2 linked regions of the Arabidopsis thaliana genome follow. The protein of the gene in region 1 interacts with the protein of each later gene in a pairwise test. Each region holds a gene or a part of one and is shown on either strand. Other genes may lie near its edges.

Region 1 (4,876 bases):
CGTTGGGCCTTATCAGCCCAAATCTCTTCTTATTAATGATACAATGACTCATTATTCATTTTACAATCTAAAGCGTTGTCATTTTGCACACAAAAAAAAAAAAAAAGCGTTGTCATAAGAGTTTAACGATAGTATCAGAAAGATTCAACAATAAATCAGTTATTCAACTAATTATATCCGGCAATGATTCTTCCGGAGATCATGCTTATAGTGAGTGAGTCCTTTGGATTCGTTGATGATCGATCAGTTGAAGCATTTGCCTTCAATTATGAACTATTAAGGGTGGTCTTTTGAGCAGTAGCCGGGTTTGTTGCCACAAATTGTTAGATTTTTGCCGGTTCTTTATTTTTGGAGTCATTTTGTTGTCTTTAGATGTTTCTTATGGAGTCTGCTTTCGGAATTTTTTTTTCGTTACAGAACTGAAGAAGCAAAGGAGACATTGCGGAAACTTAAAGAAGGCATAATAAAGGTGTATTCTATAGGGAAGTTTTTGACGGCTTACTTTTGATGAGACTGATTTGTATTGTTTAAGGAACTTAGCCATGGGATCAAGCTATGAAAGTATTTAATTTCAGGTTCTCTAGAGATCACACAGCCAAAGTTCAAAATTATATGTGGGATTGGATAGGAGAAGAAAAAACAGACAACCTTATGTAAATATTCCATTTGTTTCACCACAAACATGATAATGTAAGACATTAAACTCCCATCTATAAGATCCCGCGGCTCTGTTCTTTAGGTCAAGAAGACAAGAACGAATAGGATGATGAACAAGACGAGCAAGAAACATATCATCATCATTTGACCTTTTGCTCCAGCTTTCTTCATTACCATTCCCACTTTTTTCTGTCACAATACCATTTTCATTCTTTCAGTTTTTACTTTCTGCAATCAAACCAGCAACAAGACCTTTAAGGGGTTTACCTGAACAAATTCAAGACGGTTCTTTGTGCTGTCCATCTCCGTATCCAATTCATCTATTATTCTCTCCTGAACACACACAATAACAAAAACTTGATGTTTCTGATCTCTACTGATACGTCCTACTGTTAAATCATCTTCCCATATTACTAACCTGTGCAACGAGTTCGTCGTGTATAGTGAGCCCCACTCCTCCAATTCTCTGTACACTTTTACTAAGCTCATCCAATTCTTCGTCTTGTTGCCTGAAGTGAAAAAAATGATGTTAAGTTATGGCACTACTCTGTTTTTGAACAACACTATGCTACAATCTTCAGTCTAAAATCGTTATAAACTCAGAAGCAAAGAAAAGACTGCAAAACAATGTAGAACACACAGAGAGAGCTTTACTTTATCAACAGCATTTGCCTATCTGATTCTGACTGTACAAAACCATCATCGTCTCTCCCTCCATACTGATCATATCTACTTGCTTCACCCGAGTTTGGCATTCTCATTAGTTCTCTACGCACTTCACTTGCATGACCTGCTCCAGAACTAACCTTTCCAGCTAAAACACCAGACTTCACATTCCGCACCTATAAAAAAAATCGTAATCGTCTTGCACAAGTCAACTAACAACAAATTTATGCCACTATGTAAAGCAGTATTCATAACAAACTTAGAGAACATACCTGTGTCCTAGCATTACTAGTCCATCTCCTCCGTTTTTCAAGCTCAGCTTCATCAATGCCATACCATGAAGGATCTTTTGCTGCAACAGTAATCGCTTTTTCCAGCTCATCTACCTTCCTATCAGTAAAAACAGCTTCAATAGCCATGAAAGGACTCGAATATATTCAATTGGAATTTCTAATCATGTAAATAAGGGCCAATACATTCCTACAAGATCCATTTACAAACACAAATCCTATTCCACACCAGCTAAATTATATATAAAGACGAGATTAATAGAACCGTGACTAAATACGAGTACCTGCCACTCAATGCTTCCACAAGTAGCAACAAGCTCCTTCGCCACATGTGCTTGATCACCCATGTCGGGAGAGATACGCTCCCATTTGTGGAATGTAGATTGCAACTTATCAATCTAACAAAGCATCATCCATCAATCACTGTACTTCAAAATCTAAACAAAAAAACATCTCTGGCAATTTCTGAACAACTTACAGAATCCTGAATCTCTTCTTTAACAATGTAGAATGGATCTTGAGCTGAAGACATCCCGAAATCAACAAAATTTTGCTACCCTATACACCAAATAACACAGCTGATTAAGCTATAGAAACAAGTTCTTATGCAAAGTTAGTTACAGAAACAGAATTTTGAAATTTCATCTCATTGGCAGGGATTGTTCTGGAGATGCGCAAATTCTACGATTGCAAAATTAGAGTTCCTAAGTCACAATGATCAAACTCGACAAAACTATTAGATCCAGAGAAATTCCGATTAAATCCTGGCTAATCTAGGGTTAGAATTTTATTCAATAGAACCGGAACGGCTTTATCAATCTATGTGCTTTAAGATCGACACAAACATTGGAGAAAAAGCTTGCGTTTAGAGACGATAACGACAAGGATCAATGCGAAAGGAGAATTGATGTAAGAGGAAAATTGAAGAAGCTTCCTTACCTGTGAAGGAATTAATCGAAAGGTGACGCGACGGAGAACAAACGACGGTGAAGTAAAAGAGATTCCGGCGTGAGATTCGTCTCTCTTACATAGCAAAACGCATCACCTGCGGTTGGCTTTGAGATTCGCTGAAAGTTTATTTTTGGGCTACTGGAGAATCTTATAAAGCCCAATAAGAGACCACAGAGCCCAATAAGTTATTACAAATCTACGACAGTATTAATAAAGACCATTTTCTACGTTACAAAATTTTGATTATTAACTGTTATAGAAAATGGTTATATTGAAACGCATATTTGGCATTTGTTATAGAAGAAAGAAACCACTCTTGCTGAGTTTTTGTTGGTTAAAGCGTGACCTAAGTCTGTCTATTGAGAAGATTCATAGTCCATGAAAAATCCGATGCTACTATAAATGATTGTTTACTAATCCTAGAAACCAAAAACAAATAATTGTTTTCTCAATTCAAAAATTGTATGGTAAAATTTTAGGGTTTACACATTTAAGATTTTAAGTGTTATAGATTTCCGGTGCACAGAAGAATGGTATATATTGTGAGTTTGTGATTAGTTTTGTTATGCAAACTTCTCACGTTAGGCAACTGTAAATATAATATCTCCAACAAAGCGGTCATGCAATTTGTTTTGTTGAAAATTTGTATATTTTACTAGCGGTCATGAATTTTTAAATCCCCCACACTCTATTTTTTAAAATATTTTTAACGTTTTGGGACCATGATGGATGTTGAACTTTCATTTCAGGATTTGGTGGAACGATAAAATTGGAAAGGCTTTGGAGTTTGGAACCTGAAGAACTTATAAAGTTAAAGGATGACACGTGACTTTAATAAAGAAATGCAATTCCCATAATCATATAATAGTCCAAATTTAGGAAGAAATGGGTGACATGAGTTTTAAAGAAGAAAGACGTCATGATTCCATTAAAACAAACCAAATTAGTTGGTGGCTTGGTGCTGACGTCTACCGACTTTTCCACCGTCCATCCTTCGACGATGGTTCTTTCTAAATGACCTTCTCAGTTTTTTCCTGTCATGCGTATTATTATTATTAGTTAATAAGGCTCCACTACTACTCGGAAAGTCCGAGTACAAATAATATGACAATAATGTCAAACTTATTCTTAGTATTGGTTTAAAAGAAGGATTCAACAAGAGTACTTAATCACGTCTCATAATTACCACTTTCATCCAAACATGGTCATTACTATATGACATGATCGTGTTACATTAATTTGGAAAGTAGTATATGTCTTTTTCCTAAAAGTTTATGTTTAGATTTTTGATCACTAAGAATATAATGTCATATATATTATTAACCTTTACACCTAAATGTTATATTAATTACTTGAATGATAAAACGGAAAATATCGAAAGTTTAGGCTAGGTCTCTCTAGCATCTCTAGTGTATTTATTTAGCAATCCCAAAACAAAATTGTGTTTTCTACAATTTTAGTATTAGATTACCAAAATTGTTGTATATAGTCTGGTGATTCCGTTTTGATGGTCGAGATCGAAAGAAGCAAGCATCCACTATGTGGTCGTCACATGCGAATATTTCTAAGTATACAACCATCTATCGAAAGTTTCGAAACAACCCAAATATAATAGTAATAAATTCTGAGAATTCTCCTATTTTTTATTGATATGAAAAAAGCAGTAAAATATTATGTAAAGTAGAGAGGAACCAAAATTAAAACGTGCAGATTTATTAAAAGAATAAAGTGGGATCCAAAAAGTCAGCGTGAAACATGTGATACGATATAACGACACGGTCCTATGACTAAGTCCACTCCAATCCAGTGACGTAAACAGCACCATCACCCATAGCTTCCTGTGACGCACATCCTTACGTAACCATCGTTGACGCTAGACTTTCCTCTCTGATCTCTCTTTCTTCATGTATATATAACAAAACCTTCCTTTCCTAATTGGTATCTATCTTTAAAAACATACTTGAAAATGCAAGGAACGATTTCTTGTGCAAGAAATTATAACATGACGACAACCGTCGGGGAATCTCTGCGGCCGCTATCGCTTAAAACGCAGGGAAACGGCGAGAGAGTTCGGATGGTGGTGGAGGAGAACGCGGTGATTGTGATTGGACGGAGAGGATGTTGCATGTGTCATGTGGTGAGGAGGCTGCTTCTTGGACTTGGAGTGAATCCGGCGGTCCTTGAGATTGATGAGGAGAGGGAAGATGAAGTTTTGAGTGAGTTGGAGAATATTGGAGTTCAAGGCGGCGGAGGTACGGTGAAGTTACCGGCGGTTTATGTAGGAGGGAGGTTGTTTGGAGGGTTAGATAGGG
Region 2 (4,628 bases), on another chromosome or scaffold:
TCCATTCTCACATGCAATGATTCGGATGAAGTTTAGCCAAATATTATTATTATCCAACCTCTTCTGCACCACGAAGAGACTTTATTTACGTAATATATTTGATGGTCCAGTACTACTATCCAGACATTATTGTTTTCGTTTCCAAATCATAAAACTTGAAATCTTATTGATTACTACTAGGGTCGATATCTCACTATTTGGAAACCGCAGGCTCCCTATTTATTAGTTTCAAACTCAATTGAAATGAAAATGTGTATTGGTGGTTTTAATGTTTGCACTGCGTAATGTTGCCTGAACTGTATATTTAATAAATTTACCACAACTTAGCAGATATAATTTTGTTATACGAAATCGTATAGTCTTCTTCATGGACAAAGAGGAAGGCAATCATCATTTTCTATGATTGCTCATCGACCTGGCATTTCCATTACCAAAGGCAGCATAATATCAAATCAAATATTTCTTTGTCGTACTTTACTTGAATTAATGATATTATCGTGGGTCGACTTAGGAAGTAAAGTTACTTCCATTTCATATATCTAAATCACATTTGCGTAAAATTTAAGTATTACACAAAGTGATAAAGTAAATTAAGTAATAATTGGCTAGGGATATTAACAAAATAAATAATTTTGATTAGGGCTACGAGGATAAGGACAAACGTCGTATTAACGTATAAAAAATGTGAAAGGAAAAGAGTAAACTAAGCTTTAGATATTAACACTCATTACGGGATTCCTAAATTGCCAGCACTTCGGATTATCCGTCAGTCCACTATTTATGCTAGTTTTTCTTTTCCTTGTGAGCTTGCACTATGGATTTTTCTTTATGCAATTCTCAATCTAAATGACCATTAAACTTTAGAAAAAAATGACCATTAAGTTTTAATGTACATTTGTATCAACTTTCTAATATGCCACGTCCGTATTGCTATATACAAACATAACCATTCAAATTAATATGGCTCTCTCAAAGGAAAAAAATAAAAGGAATAGCAAATGAGTAGATAAATTTTTTGATCAAAAAGAATAAGATGCACTAGTATTAGTATATACTCCCATACATCATTTAACCAAATTTTAAAATTGATTATAATCCATAAATAGTCTTCAAATTTCAACGACAAACACATTAATGTGAGTATAAATTAGCATAGACTACTATATAGTTTATATGCGGGGTGAATGTTTGTCTATACAAGTTTCGTCAAAAAAACGGCACCAACCATAATTAATAGACTCTTATCTTTTGCTGGTATATGAACTCTTTTTAAAAATTGCCGCGAATATACCTTCTTCGTAGATTATTAATCTTTTTCATGTACAGTTGCCTTTAGCAGATTATCATATGTTACAAACATTTGACCTAATTTGAAAAAATGTTACCAAAAAAGATTTGGAAAAAAAGACAAAGATATTGAGATAACCGTTGAAGAGAGTTTGGGATGACAGGCTGACGAGAAAACCATACACCTCATTTCTATCATTAACCCTCACATGGCTTATCTGTACATCTGGACCCCACCACCTTCTACTTTTATCTCCCATTTTTTTTTTCAAATTATTACTACCCAAAAAAATATTCAACAAACCTACAAAAACACATGTCTTATTTTTATTTATTTAAACATTTGTGTATTTATCCCATTGTTCCATATTTATTAGTAGGAAAAATATTCACATTTTACAGAACTGCAAAAGATTTGGCCATGCAAATTATACCCCACTTTGATTGCTATTTTATACACTATATCATACAGTACAAGAACAAAAATTTGATTGGGCCAGTAATAATGCATATAACTATTGATGTTAGCAAGAGAAAAAAATGCATTAAAACACAAATTTGACTATTATTTTGCAGGAACATTCGTGATAATTTTGACTATTATTTTGTCAGTAATAATGCATATTAATCGTATGTGATTTTAACTAAAACTGGAAAGTTCCAAGGAACATTTAGTAGTTTATATTTTTAGTACTAAGTTAGTTTAGAGGGTTATTAACTATTTAATCGTACTAATAATGATTATAAGCAGAATTATGTAGACTATACAAATAGTACGTAATACCGAAAGTACCCTTGGTTTATCCCTGGCATTACAAGGGTTTCCTTTTTCCCCTTTAAAATGGCAGAAGAGATACACTGTCGTCGTCACACAGCACCACAAACTCCATAGCTAGCTAGAGAGTAAAAAGAACAAAGATGTCGAAAGAAGTGAGCGAAGAAGGCAAAACCCACCATGGAAAAGACTACGTGGATCCTCCACCAGCTCCTCTTCTCGACATGGGTGAGCTCAAATCCTGGTCTTTCTACAGAGCTCTCATCGCTGAGTTCATCGCTACACTCCTCTTCCTCTACGTCACCGTCGCTACTGTCATCGGCCACAAGAAGCAAACCGGTCCTTGTGACGGCGTTGGTTTACTTGGTATCGCTTGGGCTTTCGGTGGTATGATCTTCGTCCTCGTCTACTGCACCGCCGGTATCTCTGGTAAGTTTGAATCCCACCAAAAACCCTAACTTTTACTTGTTTGGTTCGTTGGTTTTATTGTTAATCTCGTTCTTGTTCTCGTCTTCTCGTAGGTGGTCACATTAACCCAGCTGTGACTTTCGGTCTGTTCTTGGCCCGTAAGGTCTCTTTGGTGCGAGCTCTTGGTTACATGATAGCTCAGTGTCTTGGAGCCATTTGTGGTGTGGGTTTCGTGAAAGCTTTCATGAAAACTCCTTACAACACTCTTGGTGGAGGAGCTAACACCGTAGCTGACGGTTACAGCAAAGGAACTGCTCTCGGAGCTGAGATTATTGGAACTTTCGTCCTTGTTTACACCGTTTTCTCTGCAACTGACCCTAAGAGAAGCGCTCGTGACTCTCACATCCCCGTAAGTCTCAAAAAGCTTGAATCTTTAATTGAGTTTTTTGACAAAGTTACTATGAATCTGATTGGGTCTTTGTAGATTATGATAAAGGTTGAATCTTTTTAGGATTTAATGATAAAGTTAGTATGAATATAAAATGGGTCTTTGTAGATTCTGATGAAGTTTGAATCTTTTTATGGTGTAATGACAAAGTATGTATGAATCTCTAAGGATCTTTACTTTGTAGATTCTGATAAAGTGTGGTGGGTTTTCTTGTGATTAGGTTTTGGCTCCACTTCCAATTGGATTTGCTGTGTTCATGGTGCATTTGGCTACTATCCCCATTACTGGAACTGGTATCAACCCAGCTAGAAGCTTTGGTGCTGCTGTTATCTACAACAACGAGAAGGCGTGGGATGACCAAGTAAGTGTTTAGTTATTATCTGGATTAGGTATTCACTAATCATTCATGACTTCATGTCCTAATGTTGGTTCTGTGTTGGTTTTGGTTTTGCAGTGGATCTTTTGGGTTGGTCCGTTCTTGGGAGCACTAGCTGCAGCAGCTTACCACCAATACATATTGAGAGCTTCAGCAATTAAGGCCTTGGGCTCGTTCCGAAGCAACGCAACCAATTAATGAAGGCTTTTTTTAAGATAATGTCAAGAAACAACTTTAAGATTTATATGCTTTAATTATTATTTGTTGTTCTTTTGTGTGTAATGAGAGAGATGGTGGATTGATGTTAATTATGAAATGGCTCAGTGACTTCTATTTCCTTCTTTAGTTTTTGATTGTCTTTGTTAATCGTTTGCCTTTGGTTTCTCTTAGTAGTTACAAATTCATGTTTTCTCTTCATGTCAGTTCGTAAATATCGAACAATCCAAGTTGGAATTTATTATTCACAACATCACAAGATCCTTCAATGTACATTATTACAGCTAGCGTCCAATTAAGATACAAATTTCGGCTGAACATGGTGTGTGGGTCTTTTGGTTATTATCCTCGTGTCGACTCTAAACCATCGGGTCATATGTAAACCATTCATTAATTGACACGTGTTGAGAAGGAAATATTGGATTCCATTTGCTATGTGGTTACATTTTCGTTAGTTGACAAGAAAACAACTATTTTCGCTCCATTTGCTTTAGTCTTTTTTTTCGATGTTACTTGTTAGAATTAGTATTGTTTTTAAAAGAAAAAGAACTCGTGCGAGTACCTTTTGTTGTTTTTGTGAAAGGATAAAAAGGAGTGGAGCCAATAGAGTTGTAACAACCAGACAAGAAACGAGACATTAAACCCATTTTTTCCACCGCACTCTAACTTTTCTTAGGCCGCGTGTCGCGTAGCTCATGTGTTTATCACATGGGTAACTTTTCTGCGTCTAGTTACCGTATTGTTATTGTTATTGTTATATAGTAGACTCCTTTTGGCTAAGAGTCTTTAGACCCACCCAAACGCATATGTGTTTGGATGTATTAGGAAATTATTTGTATAAAAGACTTTACCAACTTAATTGAATAATGCATTTGATTAAAGAGAGAAAAAAAAAAGAAAATGCTCATGGAAGCAATAAGCACTAAATTTGTCTATGGGATGTAAATTGCGACAGTGAGAGTTGGCTTTAAAATAGTATGAATACAAATACGAATTTGTCTACATGGAATAGTAGTAATAATTCACGTCTCGTCTTTTCAGAAAAGTGAATGCAGAGGAGACAGAGAGAGAGAGAAGGACCACAACGATGGCCTTCACGCTTTTACTGGTTAATACGC

The links.
Region 2: the proteins of SYP61 (region 1) and PIP3 interact in a two-hybrid assay, tested with the Arabidopsis thaliana proteins (one study listed by BioGRID).

Annotation. Positions count from the first base shown.
Region 1 is NC_003070.9:10,013,702-10,018,577, reverse strand, and holds SYP61 (syntaxin of plants 61), read right to left. Parts: upstream 2,723-4,876; 5' UTR 2,553-2,722; intron 2,172-2,552; 5' UTR 2,146-2,171; coding exon 2,092-2,145; intron 2,012-2,091; coding exon 1,898-2,011; intron 1,828-1,897; exon of another isoform or gene 1,743-1,827; coding exon of another isoform or gene 1,710-1,742; coding exon 1,596-1,709; intron 1,500-1,595; coding exon 1,312-1,499; intron 1,167-1,311; coding exon 1,076-1,166; intron 991-1,075; coding exon 925-990; intron 847-924; coding exon 736-846; 3' UTR 531-735; downstream 1-530. Other genes in the region: GRX480 (Thioredoxin superfamily protein), read left to right, coding at 4,531-4,876. UniProt on the Arabidopsis thaliana protein: Vesicle trafficking protein that functions in the secretory pathway; the fusion of phospholipid vesicles containing SYP61 and VTI12 is triggered by YKT61 and YKT62. Together with VTI12, required for membrane fusion.
Region 2 is NC_003075.7:16,706,467-16,711,094, forward strand, and holds PIP3 (plasma membrane intrinsic protein 3), read left to right. Parts: upstream 1-1,894; 5' UTR 1,895-2,205; coding exon 2,206-2,491; intron 2,492-2,583; coding exon 2,584-2,879; intron 2,880-3,138; coding exon 3,139-3,279; intron 3,280-3,372; coding exon 3,373-3,492; 3' UTR 3,493-3,941; downstream 3,942-4,628. UniProt on the Arabidopsis thaliana protein: Water channel required to facilitate the transport of water across cell membrane. May be involved in the osmoregulation in plants under high osmotic stress such as under a high salt condition.